Struthio camelus: one gene and its partner. The protein of the gene in region 2 purifies or fractionates together with the protein of the main gene of each other region. This does not show direct contact. Links are inferred from orthologs where the notes say so. Each region holds a gene or a part of one and is shown on either strand. Other genes may lie near its edges.

What was found. The genes of interacting proteins can lie anywhere in the genome.
Region 1: the proteins of CLGN (region 2) and SLC30A1 purify together in Homo sapiens (co-immunoprecipitation; 3 studies listed by BioGRID and IntAct, with this or other methods). This does not show direct contact. The link is inferred for Struthio camelus from reciprocal best matches to the Homo sapiens genes CLGN and SLC30A1.

Annotation. Positions count from the first base shown.
Region 1 is NC_090944.1:113,829,744-113,837,483, reverse strand, and holds the start of SLC30A1 (proton-coupled zinc antiporter SLC30A1), read left to right. Parts: upstream 1-4,655; 5' UTR 4,656-4,756; coding exon 4,757-5,381; intron 5,382-7,740. UniProt on the Homo sapiens protein: Zinc ion:proton antiporter that could function at the plasma membrane mediating zinc efflux from cells against its electrochemical gradient protecting them from intracellular zinc accumulation and toxicity.
Region 2 is NC_090945.1:33,019,123-33,026,709, forward strand, and holds the start of CLGN (calmegin), read right to left. Parts: upstream 3,002-7,587; 5' UTR 2,840-3,001; intron 1,005-2,839; 5' UTR 996-1,004; coding exon 834-995; intron 1-833. UniProt on the Homo sapiens protein: Functions during spermatogenesis as a chaperone for a range of client proteins that are important for sperm adhesion onto the egg zona pellucida and for subsequent penetration of the zona pellucida.

The sequences.
Region 1 (7,740 bases), on a different chromosome or scaffold from region 2:
GTTGCTTCTCCCCTCAGAACACATTTTCAATAAGCAAATACATTTGGAAGCTGCTTATTCCACATGCGTGGACTGGAAGGTGAACCGAGAGACGAACTGGGTGAGTCACAAACAGTGCCTGGAAGCCTTAAGAAAAAAAAAAAAAAAAGCGGAGCCCTCCCTGCTTTGAAGACATAGCATTCTTCTCAAATACTTAAGCAGGAACAAAATGTTCTCCTGTAAGCACACTGCCTTATGGCTTGCTTTGGGTAAAGACTTGATTGATAAAGGTGACCTTTATCAGTCACTTTCCTATTAGACCTACAATTTAAAAGGTTGCCACATGGACAGTCCTAAATTTAGGAACCGTCCCTGTTCCTGTTGGTTGCTAATGTATGGTAACACAATAGAAAAGCCTGGGAAGAACAGTGTAGCGCACTCTAGTTTATGAGAAAGACTCCAGGGCGAAGGTAGGGATGCGAGCTCATGTCTGCTCCAGCTGCCGGTCTGTGCCTGACATCCAGGAGCGGCACTCTGGGCAGTGGCACACGTCGGGGATTACAGGTACCCAAGTCTCTTTACTTGAAGGGAACCAAGATAACGGAGGGGCTGGGTCCACCGGGATCCCCTGAGACAAAGCTGCACGCCCAGCCCTGCTCATCAGGGAGCAGAAGGCCTGAGGATACGTTGTCACCTCCTGCCTGGGAAGGATTCATGGCCTCCCACTCCCTTGAGGTGTATAGTCCATGTCTTGTGGCTTTTGGTCCCCGGAGGATTTCAGAATTCAGCCTGGTGGAGGGTGGAGGAGGAGGAAGACAGGCAGGCTATCCCTGGGCAAGGGCAGAACATGCCATCTTGTAAGGAGAAGATGGCAGCAAATTGTGCGCTCGTATGGTATGCTCGAGTGGATTAGGAGGACTTGTGGTGAAGAGATGTTAAAGGGATTACAAACCGATCTGGATATTGTTACTATATAAGAAATGATACAAAAAAAAGTCATAACCCCCTTCCTATAAGTCAGGCAAAACTCTTCATGAAGTTTGTGTTCAATGTTGATTAAGTTCTATTGGTAAGGATGGTACTGCTTTATTGCTATCCTATATCTCTGAGGTAGAGACCCGGTACTTCCAGTCGTTAGGAAGACTGTAACGACATCACTGGGGCAACCAACTAACAGTTTCAGTAATCCCCGAAGTCCAGCACGTGAGAGACATCAGACTTTGAAATTCCTTGTTCTTCCCACTTCCCTAGTTAAATTCCATTGGCTCAACACTGAATCCCTGTAAAATGATAACCCTCCCTACCTGCAGGAATTTTAAAGGGCTTGAGCTGCAGTAGTTTTCTTGACCTATATTTCCTAAATTCTGATAATCCTTCCTTATTAACTAATGGCGTCTTGTGGGGGCGAGAAGGACAGAACATGGGCATGTTCCATTTTAGTATAATTGATGGTCAGCTTCCTGACTACAAATAACATCTTATTAAATGGTATTAGGGCATACGGGAAGAGAGGTACATGAAAAGAACGTTATATATAGTTATATCTAATTACTGCCTCTCTTACCAGTACTGTTTACGGTGGTCATTAAAGCATTCCATATGGTTTCCTACAGCTGAACAACTGAAAACATTTGACATATAAACAGTCTCACAGAAAATGGGGTTCAGGGCCATAGGTCAGCACTGTGGCAACTGTAGTGCCTAAGCTGTGTGTATGTTGTAAAGACTATGACACTGCAGAGTAAGGGGAGAGGAGGAAATGGCATGCAAGGATGAGAGCAACAAGGGAGACAGATGTGGATTCAGTAGGAGTCTGCTGAGTGTAGCGGAAGCCAATCCTGAGCTACAGATTTCAGTTATGCTTGTTGATAATCTGTTCTTGTGGAAGTGTCAACGCCTCCCGCCACTTAACTAATGAGATGAAACTAGCTTTCCAGCTCCAGCCGCCAGGGACCTTTGTATAGACCCTAAATCATGGTCCCTTCCGAAACTCCAAGCATAGCAAGAGGCTTTTGTGTTCTCGTTACATCTTCTTTGTGGAGCATCATAGTTTTCACATTGCCTCCATATACTCATACATACAGCTACAGCTGTACAGCTACAAATAGCTACGGCAGTTTGTTTCCTCTCGCTTCATTTTCCATTTATGGAACGCCCTTGGACAATTTCTTGCTACCTTGTTGGTTGGCCCCGTGGAACACGGTAGATAAAGTAAGATGTCATCGCTGGAGCTCATCTGGACCCTTCCCATTCAATGTGCTGCTCAGCTCACTGCAGTGGGCTGAGGCACACAAGTCCTAAGCCCTGCTCAAACAAACTAAAAACAGAAAAACAAATTCATGAAAAGATGTAAAATGATGAACTTGCTGCCATTTCAAGGATATGAAACAGAAGTTCTTGGTACGTTTTTCTTACATTTTTGTGATTTTTTTCTAGATGTTTCAAAATATTTGTTTAAACATCTGTTTCCCCTTTTCTCTCATTTTTAATTGCAACACATTCAATAAAATGAATAGTATCTAGGGACTTATCTGTTAGTGTGTGTGTGTGTATATATATATATATATATATATATATATACATTTTTTTTGTGACATTACAGCCTTTCAAAACTTCCTCAAGAAAAATTACTTCCTTCTTCTCTCCACATTTTTAACCATAAATGATTACTCATTAATTATTATTTCCTCACCACTCATTCTATTGCTTTCTGTGGCAAAAAAAGAGAAAAATTGGATGTTTACCATGCAGAGGGTAGGAGCATCCAGGATGCTCAGGAATGATGATATCAAAACACTGATTAAATTTGTATTAGTTGTTGACTTATACCACATACAGGAATGAGTGAAGTAATTAGATGCCACTTCTTGATATTTGCTACTCCCAGTCATATGTTTTAAAAATCTTAATAACACTTATCCAACAGTTTAGAACTCTGTACAGGGAAGAAGCAACTAATGGAGATGGAAGACCACGTGTCCGTACCCCAGAACAGAGATGTACTCACCACTCAGTGATGACAGTGCCTGGCTGGTGATTTTCAGGCTGGGGCGGGTGCAATAAAGTGTGAGGGGGCATAGGAAAGATCACAGATTAACAAGAATAACGTATGTAATGCATTCAACATAACTTTGCTGCTGCGTGAGCAATCGAATTAACAGCCAGTTGCAAGAAACATCATCCTGCCTCAGCTGCCTCCCGGAAAACCACCTTTCTTTCTGCCCAGTGGGAGCCACTGCAGAAACTCCTGGGCGCTCAGGCTGCTGGAGGCGAACGATGAAACACAGGGGCACCACGGCACCTGTCACCGCACCGCTCTCGCCTTCTGCTTTGCTTTCACTGACAGCTCCAAAACTTCAGGCTAGCAACGGAGTCTTTCACTTGGCTGCACGGTGGTGCCGGGGAGCGGGGAAAGGGGCTGTTGCATTTGTGGGAGTTAGACGTAAGCGTAACACTACTTTCTTCCCAACTCATGGCGAGCGTAACGTTTCAGCGACGCCCGCTCACAGGACGGGGCGGACCGCGGGGGTCAGAAGAGCCCGGCGCCGAGGTGTGGCTAGGGGAAGGACGGCGGGGGGGCCTTGGACGAGAGCTGGGCTGCGAGCGATAGCCGCGGGGCTGGACGTACCGCTGTGAAGCCTGTGGCAGCTGTTAAACGGGAGCAGGGATTTGGCCGGGTTGGGGATGGGTGCTGCTCGACTGCCGGTTGCGAGCAGGCGGGGGGGGAGGTGGGAGGTGCAGAGGGGCCGTGGCCGGGTTGCAGCCTTCCCCGGTGCCTTGGGACCGGCGAGGAAGGCGCTGCTCCTTCTCGCGTTTGTCGTCCGACAGAACGAAAAAAAGCTCAGCTGGGAGGAGGGGCTTCAGCGGCTCGCGGGGAGGGGGCAGCCTGAAGGCACCGGCGGACGAGGGGCCGGCGGCCAGAGCCCGCGCCGACAGAGAGCCGGTCGGTGCCGGAGGGGCCGGCTGGCCGCGGCGCCGGGGCTCCCGCACCGGCCCGGGCCGCAGAGCCGGCCGCCGCCACCCCCGGGTCCCGGCCGCCCCCGGGCAGCCGTTGCTGCCCGCAACGGCCCCGCGTGACGTCACAAAGGCCCCCCACCCCGCCTCGCGTGGCTCGCCGCAATGGAACGGAATGGAGCGGAGCCCCCCCTCCCCTCCCCTCCCTCCGCCCGGCGCGGCCCGCCCGCAGGCGAGCCCCGCCCCCCCGCGCGCGCCGGGCCGGGGCCGTGTGAAGCGCACCTTTTGCACGAGTCCCGCTCGCCGCGGGAGGGGAGGGAGGGGGGAAGAGAAGCCGACCGGCTCTGCCAACCGCAGCCCGCTCTGCGGCTACGTCACGCGCAGCCCCGCCCCCCCTCGCCCCGGCCCCGCCCAGCGCCGTGGTGCGGCCGCGGCCAACGGGCGGCGCTGGGGGGCGGGGGCCGGCCGTCGCGAGGGCGAGCGGGCCAATGGCGGGAGAGGCGGGGGGCGGGGGCGGGCCGGCGCCGCCGGGCGGGGGGGGCGGCGGCCAATGGGGCGCGGGCGGGGGGGCGTGGCCGTGCCGGCTCGGGTTCCGTGTGGAAAGAGTGAGGGGGCTCGGGTGCAAAGTTTGCTCGCCGAGCGGCTGCGGAGGGAGCGGCGGCGGCCGGGCCGCCGGGGGCGGGGAGGGGGCCGCGCGCGCGCTCGGGGCTCCGCCGCCGCGCCCAGGGACCGTTGGCCGCGCCAACCGCCGGCGGCGGCGGCTCCTCGCTCTCCTCGCGCCTGCTCCGCTCCGCGCCGCGCCGGCGGCCGCTGCCCCGCCGCGATGTGCGGGGGGATGGCGGCGAAGGGGCCGGGCGGGCCGCGGTGGTGGCAGAACCGGCGGGCCCGGCTGCTGTGCATGCTGGCGCTCACCTTCCTCTTCTTCGTGGTGGAGGTGGTGGTGAGCCGGGTCACGTCGTCGCTGGCCATGCTCTCCGACTCCTTCCACATGCTCTCCGATGTCATGGCCCTGGTCGTGGCGCTGGTGGCCGTGCGCTTCGCCCAGCGCACCCGCGCCACCAAGAAGAACACCTTCGGGTGGGTGCGGGCCGAGGTGATGGGCGCCCTCGTCAACGCCGTCTTCCTCACCGCCCTCTGCTTCACCATCCTGCTGGAGGCCATCGAGCGCTTCACGGAGCCCCACGAGATCCAGCAGCCGCTCGTGGTCATCGGCGTGGGGGTGGCAGGACTCATCATCAACCTGCTGGGGCTCTGCCTCTTCAACCACCACGGAGTCGGGGGCCACGGCCACGGCCACGGGCACTCGCACAGCGGCAGGCAGCACCCTCGCGGCGGCCCCAAGCCCGAGCAGCCGCCTGCGGACGGGGATGCTGCCCTGCACCGGGAGGAGACCAGCACCTTGGTGGAGAACTGCAGCAGCTCCAACGGAGTCAGCCAGGAGAAGCTAGGTAAGCCCTGTGGCACCTCTGCCCCCTCCCATTCCGCCCAGCATAGACGTGTCGGGAAAAGGGGAGAGGTCTTTTCCCCAAGGAAAGTGGTGGGCACCCCACTGCCACCTGACACAGGCTTCGTGGGAACCATCTCCTTGCTAGTAGGGGAGAGGCAAGAAAGTTTCTTGTCGGTGCTCTGGGGCTCACGATAGTTGCACCTCTACGCATTTTCTGCAAGCGCCACAAAGCCCGCCTTAAATTGTGTCCTCGTCTTGTAGACAGGGCAGCATGCAGAGGAGTCTTAGGATAACCCAGTGTGCCCTGGGAAAAGTTGATGCTGGTGGAGAAGGCGCATGACAAATGTTTCTGCCTAGCAACACAAGCTGTCACAAGACATTGCCCTAATGCCTTCTGAACTGGCTGTACATCAAATAGAGTACAGCTCAACACCTTGGTCCTGACAGTCAGATATCTCTTGAGTTGGTTATTAGCTACCTGAGAAATGTTCTCACTTTGAAGTGAAGTATACATATTGAAGTATTTTCCATTATAACAGTGTTGTGCTTCTTCAGGATAAGCTTATTAGTAGGAAGAAATCTTGGAAATGTGAGTCAGAACTGTGGAAGTCATATAATAGGTGCTGAATGTGGAGCTTGCTGGTTTCAAAGTGCAGGCATGTTTCTTTGAGTTAGTTTTCCTTTAGCTCCCTACTGCGTGCAGCTTCCCTCTCACTTGCGTGCATACATAAACTTAAAATGTCCCCAGTTCTGATCATGCTGTCTCTTCTGTGGGAGGGAATTTCTTTCATTATTTTTTAATGACTCCAAAGGCCTGGACAGTTTATTCTGAAGTCACTTGGTCAAAGCCAAGTGCTGCCTACTAGCCGAGTGAAAGGTATGTAATTACCAGTTCCCTACTTTAATCATATGACAACCCCGTTACAGCATGGAAAGGGTTTCAGTGCCCATGTTTCTCCCTTATGTTCAGGGTGATATCAGGAGACCATTGTTTTAGATTAAATTGAGCTTACTTGTACAGAGTGAACTTTGATACAGTTTTGGTATTTCTGTGGTCAGAGGCTCCATTACACATTTGAGAAACTTAGAAGTTTCTCTCTCTCTCTCCTCTCTCTGTCTTTTCTTTAGTATTTTGGCTCCATGTTGCTTTTGAAAAGTCAGATATTGAAAGAGGATAGGAAAGTTCTCCTGAATACATTACACCATTTTTCTGACTGCATAATAAGCCTCTTAATACTGTGTCGGTCGCAAGGTAGGTATCCTAATAATTAGTTTCAAACAATGTAAAATTCATTTGGCCATTAATCTAATTGATATCTAAAGTCGTGCATTGTCCTTGCATAGTGAAACCTGAGTTGTGCTTTTAGCTAAATTTTTGACTAGTTCTCTGTTAAAAGATTGAATTCTAGTATGGATTAAAGTATACATTGTGTTCGGCTAACTTCTCTGCAGTTTCTCAGGAATATAGTTCTGGCAATAGAGAATAATTTGCTGTGGGTATTTAGTATGTAATAGGACATAGTTTTGGTCATGTGTTAAATTTTCAAATAAGTGTGTATGTCCTCTAGGCCATGTCATGATTATGTTATGGATTGAGTTATTCATGGTTAACCTGTGAAAATGTTACAGGTGCTTGAAGTCTTAGGCTGTAAGATGTGTGAGTGAAGACTAGGGAAATGACTGACAGTAGCATTATGCCTTCATTGGAAATTACAAATGGGGGTAAGCCCCGTTTTCTTAAGGTTGAAGTGGAAATGGAATGATAGCCTGGGGGCTAGTACTGTGCAGGTAATCTTTATGCACACACTTTCTATAAAGTAATCAGTTTATAGTTAAATTAAAATGAGACATATTTCAAATTGACGGATTTTAACCAGTTGCCATTAAAAAAAAATCTCAAGAGCTTCCTGGAACTGTATTTCCTGTCATCCACCCCTTATGGATAGGTCTACTGACTTTCCGAATCTGCTTTGATCCAAGCACTTGGTACACTGCACAGTGTCAGAAAAGGTCGTCTTTGTTCTCATTGTGAAGCCAGAGGTCTGAACTCTGTAACCTCAGATATCTTCCTCTAATTTATTGACTTCTACTGGAAAGTTACAGGTTCTAGTGATATTTCCATATTCCATAACTTCTGGAGGTTGTATGGAAAATGTAGCTGGAGCTTTAGGACTGAAGTGTGATATACGGCGTAATGAATCTTGGGCTTGGAACGTTTCCGTTCAGCCTTCTTTGTTGTGAACCCACCTCCTCCTTAAATAAGAAACAACTTGTAGACGCTTTTATGATTACAGAACCATAGCCATGATAGCGGAGTGGCAAAAGCTATAGGTCATACTAACATGTTAATGTTTACAAAG
Region 2 (7,587 bases):
AAGAAAATGCTCGGACAGTCCTTTCATTTTTCAATAGGATGGAGAGCTTGGAAGTCTCTTCTCAGTTTGAACATATAGCTGCATAAACTTGTAAAAACAGCAATCGACCCCTGCATTTAAGCAGCTCTAGAGGAACAAAGATAAATTACAAATCAAAGGGGGAAAAAAAAAACCCAAAAAATAGAAAGTTTACTGAACTTGCACCACTTCTCTGTTTCTTCCCTATTTCTTTCTATACAGATTTGTCACTCTCCCCCACAGTCCTTTCTATTTGGCACATAATAGTTGGGCTGCGCAGTTAAAAACAGAAAAAAAGTGTCCACATCTATTATGAAGTACAGCATAACAAATGCTGAAAGATCTTCTGAGAGTAAACAAAGAAATAAATAAAGAGGAGGTAAGACAGACAGTTGTGACTGATGAAATTAAGAACCTGTTCTGAAGTCAAAATGAGAATAAGCACAAGCAACATTTTCTGCTTTCTTCTCTATAAATGCGTGTTAGGCTGCAAGGTATATTACCAAGAATGACTTAAAACTAAAGGCTCCAGCTCCAGACTGAAGTATAGACTAGTAAGGCTTTTTTAAGGACTATCTAAGTACAGGTAGGAAATCTGATTTTCCACTTTCACATAGTAGAGTCATTCATAAAGCTTGTCCTCCATGTCTCACACAACAACTGAAAAACCTCACCTTTGTGAGTTTGTCACCCATGTGAGCTGTCAAATGTGTGCAATTTGCTCTTTCTAAAATGCGTTTGTTTACTAATTTCTATGTTAATTATAACTATCTTAAAATTAAACAAGATTTAACTAAAGACATCTATAATCTTACCTCTAAGGAAGATTCATCTTTGTCAACATTATTATCTTCTGACTGCTTGTCAAAATCCTCCACTTCAACATCTGTATCTCGATTTTCTTCATTTTCAATTTCTGCAGTTACTAGGCTAATTATCAGGACACTCAAGCACAGCCAGTCCCACTGGAAGTGCATCCTGCTTATCTGAAGAATTGAAAATTGTAAACTATAAATATCATTGCAAACTATCAATGCTAGTTCAATTTTACTCAAGATTTTAGCTACAAGAAAAAAAGAACCATATCCAAACAAGATATAAAGACTATAATCATTCTATTCCCATTCTTATTATTCTCTCGCTATTCTCTCATGTTAGGAAAGTTCTATACCTTAATATTAAATTTCTTTTTACTGTACAATCCTAAGACTTTTTTTTGCCTTCCCCTTCTCCCCAAGGAAGGGCTTGTAGCCTGATCCCTTACCTTGCCAGGCCAACAATGCAGCAAGAACACGACTGCTGGATGTATGCAATTTTAAGAACTAAGAATGCTTTTAATTACTCATTCCTTATCAATCTGAACCAGTAATCAAATTGAATCAATTTCTATAATTTCTATAAACCAATTTCTTTCTCCTAAGGCCCTTCCCCAGCAAATCACTCAATTTCTATGGAATACTGGAGAACGTAACTATGTCAATTGGGGACCGCTGCACCATGGCATTTCGTATATTCTACGCATGCTATTAGATTAAAAGCACGCATAGAAGGCTATTGTTACTCCTTTTGATGCAAGAAACTAAACATAATGCAGGATTTTGTGGATTACCAACTTTTCAGTGCTTTTCACTGTACTCTGAAGAGTCTTTTTCACAAAACTATTTAAACTATTTACAAGAGCAAAATTTGCTTTTGTCAAGCGGAACGTGAAGAAAATTGCCATGAAGAGCTTTGCTCACTCAAAGGTCTAAAGGTCCTGCAAGCAACATCAACCACCATAGGCTTTTCCCACTGTCAAATACTAGTTCCATCCAGGTCGATGGGCGTTCCCCTGCCCTTTCATCTATAACCATATATCACCTCACTCCTTCCCCATACAGCTACATGCACATGAATCTGCCCAGACATCATCCAGCTGAAACTCCTCCATGAAAAACACTCAAGCTCTTACAGAACGTTTTAGTTTCCTTTATTTGGGATGAAAAATGGTACTTTCCTATCTTTTACATAGATCTTAAAAATGCTGTGGTAAGATGAGTGTGTTAGCAAGATATAACCCAAACTGTAATATCACATTTGCGTAAGTCCCTCCTCAAGCAATTGCGTTGCTACGTTTCTCCTGAGTAAAACGGCCAGGAATACGCTTCTTCCTCAAGTTTAAGAGGTTCGACTCATGCGACCACCGGGCGTTCAGGTGGTGCCCGAGAAAAACCCAGCGGCCGTTACCTTGAGGCAGACGGCGGCGGCAGGAGCCGCCAACGCCGCCCCCGGGGCAGGCGGCTGCTGCGGCCGCAGGGCGGCGCGCGGTGACCGGGCCGAGGGGAGGCGCCGGCCGCCGCGGCGCCGCTCCTCCTCCGCCGCCTCCCTCACAGCCGGAGTCGGGCGGCCCCGGGGCTCCCCGCCGCACCGGGAGGGCGGGGCGCCGCGGCCCTGCCTCGCGCTCCGAACGCTGGCGTCGCGAGCGGCTAACGGCGAGTAACGGCCGCCCGGCGCGCGAGGCGCACCCCTGCGCGGGGCGGGGGGGGGGGGGGGGGGGAGAAAAGAGGAAGGCACACGCGGCCTCGGCCGGCCCCGCTGCCCGCACCGGCGGGGCGGCCTCTCCCTGAGGGGCGGCGGAGGGAGGACGGCCCCCCCCCCCGCGGGACTCCCGCCCCTGCGGCCCTCCTGCCTCCCCTTGCCCTAGTTACGAAACGCAGCGACACCAAAAAAGAGCGACCCCCCCGCGCCCCTGTTCAACCCCCGGGGGCAGCCGCCGCGCACGGCCAGCCCCCGCCGTAGAGGCCGCCCCAGCACGCCCCCCTCCCCGCGGCAGGCGAATTACCGGCGACGAAATCCCGTCCGCGACCCGCTAGCCAAACCGGGCCGCCTTTCCCAGGGCATCACCGACCACGGCTGCGCATGCGCACCACCTCCCCCTCGGCGCTCTCAGGGATGCAGGCGCCGAGCAGCAGGTGCAGCCGCTCGCGCCGCTCAGCCCAAGCCAATCAAGGCTCCGCAGGTGAAGCCCTGCCCAATCCGCGCGCGGCTCCAACGGACCGAGCGAATCACCACCTCAGCGAGCGGGAGGGCGGCAGCCCTAGCCAATCAGGAGCGCCCTCCGCGCCGCGCGCGCCAATCGAGGCTCAGTCCGCGGATGTCGGCGTTCCCGCACGTGGTCCCGAGCCAATCGCCCAGCGCCGTGCCCGGCGGGGGCGGGGGCGCGCGGCGGGGGCGGGGGCGCGCGGCGGCGCTGCTGTGGGGCCGTCCCACCGTCCCGCTGCAGTGGTTTACACCGGGTTTTACGTATGACACGTTTGAGCTTGTGATAGACACGACGCTTACCTTAATAACGCATCCCCAGCTGAGGGAAAATAACTGGGGGAGACGGCAAATCTACTTGAATTGCCTTGGAAAGTCATAAATGTGCGCTCCAGCACGGCATTTTTCAGGCAAACTTATCCGTCGTGGTACAGCATCAGTCATTTATCAGGCTGGATAAAGGCAAGGCTTCTTTCCGTCACTGACTGAAACAATTTAGTCCACATCAACCAAACCCTTTCCAGAACTGGAGAATGAGTCTAGCCTTGCTTTCTGCATTTGAGGAATAGCTAAGTGGAGGCACTGCTCCCTTCATTCCAAACCCGTTCCTTAAAGCCTCCCCCGGATCCCTTATGTACCCCAGATACAAGGTTACTACCCTTAGCAGCTTCCTGACTCAGCTTGATTCACAGTCATATCCTTCCGTTCTGGAGAGCGAACAAATCATGAGAGTTCAAGACATGATGCAGAAAAACAATATTTAAAACGGTGCAGGGGATGGCAGAGACAAAAGCAATTCCTTGAGAGATCACTAGGAACTTTTCCGCACAGCAACTGATAAATGAGATTTCAGTTTAGCAGCGCTTGCATGTGACGCTGCATCACTTCACGATTCGCGTTGTCAGAGGCTGCCTCCTCCCCAAAGGCTGCCTGGGTTGTAACGCTCGTTTCAAGGTCAGTGTTCCCCAGTGTCTGTGAGCTGAATCATAAATGCTGTATAATTACAGCCACTGCCTTTCATCTGGTGCTGTTAAATTTCTTTAATTTGCAACCCTTCACTAAACACTGTTTTAAAGAAGTACACGCCCCACGCACCCAGGGCTGTGTTTCAGTACCAGTCACCCCCTCAAAGGCAGGTATATTTCACTGCCCACAGAAGTTCGTATCGCGGCACATACGCAGAGCTCTTCTTTCTATTGTTCACGCCAACGTGTGCCTCTTTGAAAGAAAAGCAGTAAGGAAATGCCAGGAGCATTGATGGAAGCATGGCTGTAAGTCAGAGGATTTTGTTGCTCAGGGCTCTACGCCCCTTACAGCCAGTGCTCGGTCCACAACCATCTATTTTAATATTATTTTATTCTTCCCACGTTTAAGAAACAGTCTTTAAGACACAGGCGTATGGCCTGTACCCCCTCAAGCTAAGCTTCCCCCATACAGATACAGATTTCTCCAGCTGGTATTCTGTCTACCATGTATTAGTCTGCTCACTAGTATAAATAACTCAGAATTGTTCAGTTACCATCAGAATATGTAAAATACTTTGTAAATCCAAATACTAATGTTTTTGCGATATTCTGCCTTTAGGCATTATATGGTCATTATAAACTAATGCAGATGAGTGATTTTTTTCATTTGATGGTGTCGTCGAAGTCTAAGACTGCTGCAGGTTATTTCAGTTACAAGCTGCAAACAAGTTAGTCTTTACAACTTCAACACAGTGAATATTCATCTCTTCACAAAAATAGAAAAGCCATACAATTTCTTCTCTTATTAAGGCTTAGGTAATGATGATAGGAAAGATCTGCTAAGGCTTAATTCAAATATTTATTTAGTATACTTTTCAGAAGTTCTACCTCAGTTCTACAGAAACTTAAATCTGTAAACATCTTTAGCTAAAAAAATTTAGGAATGTTCTTGTGCAATCCATCATCAAAAAGACAGATGAAAACTATCCCCGCAGCTTGAAATACACATGCTTTAGAAGCGATTGCAGAATTCAAGATTTCTGCTCACTTCAGAATTGTTAATATTGCTACTGTTCAGTGCAAGGCATCTATGTAAGATGCATCTGGGATCTCACATTTATTTAAATATGTAGTAGTGTTTTGGGTTTTTTTTTTAAAGCATCCCATGCAGCAGTCTCAGACAAGACCATTAGTTTGTACAACCAGTAGGGCAGCTAGCTAACAGATGTGTGACTTATGAATAACAGTAAAAGTAAATGTTGGGGAGAACTGAGATCCTTGAATATGGAACACATTTACGTTCATTCATATATTTGGGAGAGAAGATTTTAAATTCAATAATTAAATCCATCTTAAACTTTGGATTAAAAATCTCCTCATTAATTGTAATAGATACTCCTGTTCAATAGTCTAGTCTCTTCTCAGTGTACGCCTAGCATCATTAGCATTAACACTGGATGTGTACTTGTATTAAACTGCAAAAGGTCATAGTAACAGTGATGAGATTAGGGTCCCACATCATTAATGGAAATAACAATATTTAAAAAAATTATTAAAACCAAGTTTATAATTGGCTTTTGTCTCAGAGACAAACCCCTTCCAAAAGTCCCTCAAAGGCTCTAAACAAGAATGCAGAGACACCAATCAGAGAAATGAGTAACTGCATTTCAGTGGATATCAAAATGGATGGAATAAACATCATTAATAGTGAAATAACCTGAAAAATGTGCTTTCTTCCCATACATGCATTTAACCTGATTATTGCTATGTAGAGTGAGCCTGAGGTAGTTAGTATTTTGGAGACTATATTTTAAACCATATGAAAGTATTGAGGTAAAATTTCCTACCGAAAAAGCTCAGGGATCTAGTTTGGAATTAGAACGTCCTTTTATATTTTCATTTTTATCTCCTGCTTACCTTTTTTTGTGTTGTAATTTACAAACATAATATTTACAATGCAACAAATAGCCATCCTTAACAGATGTTCCTTATCCCCCAGATCAATGATCTGAACTGAAAGTCCTTACGAGCTCATGAGGGGGCTTCATAACAGCTTTTACACTGGCCTCAGAAACAGTGTGCAAAAGCTTGTTCTGGTTTGACACAAGAGATTAAATGGAAAATCCCTGCTAGGGACATACTTTCCAGGTCAGAAGGAGGACTACGTATGATCTGTAACCACTTCATGTGTAACAAAGATTTCTATGAATAAATCCAGATAACTCACTCCAATGTTGGTTGTTGATGTTAGCAGGTAAAAACACAGAGGCATATTTCCATTACATGCCACTGTCTAAAACTTATTGGCACTGTAACACTCAAAAATTAGATATCGCTTCTTCAGTGAAAATCCAGAGTTCCTCCTATGTGGTGCTTTTAGTTTTATAGTAGGGCTGTGATTCTGCAGATTTGTGCAAGACAACATCTGCACATCACAAAGCACACGGAAGAACGGAGACTAAGCAGGATCTTACTTAACAGTGCACATGCAAGCATTCAGTATTTTAACATTTACAATGCTCCTGTATGTCAAAGTGATAGGCAATGTGTTCTGGGACTGCAATGGTTTGAGATATATAAAAACATAAATAGACTAAATGAAAGACAAAGCTGGCAGGGCAAAATGAAAAAATTATACTTACAGAAGTCCATGCATTTCATACTATAATTTCAGGTACTATGATGAGCTTTTTGAAATCATGCTTCAAGAGTTGCAGTGAAATATCTTTTCAGTGTTAAAATAAGAATATTTAGTAACAAAATCTTTTCTACTACCTTAGTATTTTCTGTGTTTTCATTGATCAATAATTGATCTGAAATTTCCTCCAATGCGATGACACTTCCCTGTAACAAATGACAGGCAGTCTGAATGCAAACCCTGCTCCCAGCCAGTGACTTGGTTCCACTGAAAGCAACAACAAAAGAGAGGACTTGGCTTTTTTTTTTTTTTTTTTTCAAACCAGATTATGTGCTTAATTAGCAAAAGAGTCTAGAAGAGATGCTCTTTCTACTTAAATCATACTTCAGTAGTGGGAGCAACAGGCCTTATAAAAGGGCAATTCAGATGACAGTTCCAGTAAATTTACAAAAATTGTAATTGTTTGGTACCATTCTGAAGTGTTTGACAAGATCTTTAAGATGAAGATAATCTCTGTGACACAATATGATTTCCATGAAGGTACTAAAACTTATGACACACTAAGAACTGAACTAAGATCTTAAAAAAGAAGTACAGTTTAATAATTTTCATACCCATAAAGGCTCCTAAAACCCCACAGGAAAAAGAAAGCATTCTCTAGGTTATATCTGTTCCTTTGCCTTTTGGGGTAAGGGCCCTATTCACTTTAATTTTATTTTCCCCTGCAAAGATGCTAAAGCCTTTTAAGGTTAGAGTTAAGAGAAGAATGACTTAAGAGTACTTAACTTTGTCTTCACTTAATATAATCTAAGTTGTGTTTTACGCCTTAGTTTAAGTTTCTATGATTAGGTGTCAGCCTGACTCCTGTTATCAGTAGAGGAAAAAAAAAAATTATCTGAATGGCTCTCCTAACCTGAGTCCGAGGGAGGAGGCTCAGCCCTTCGCATG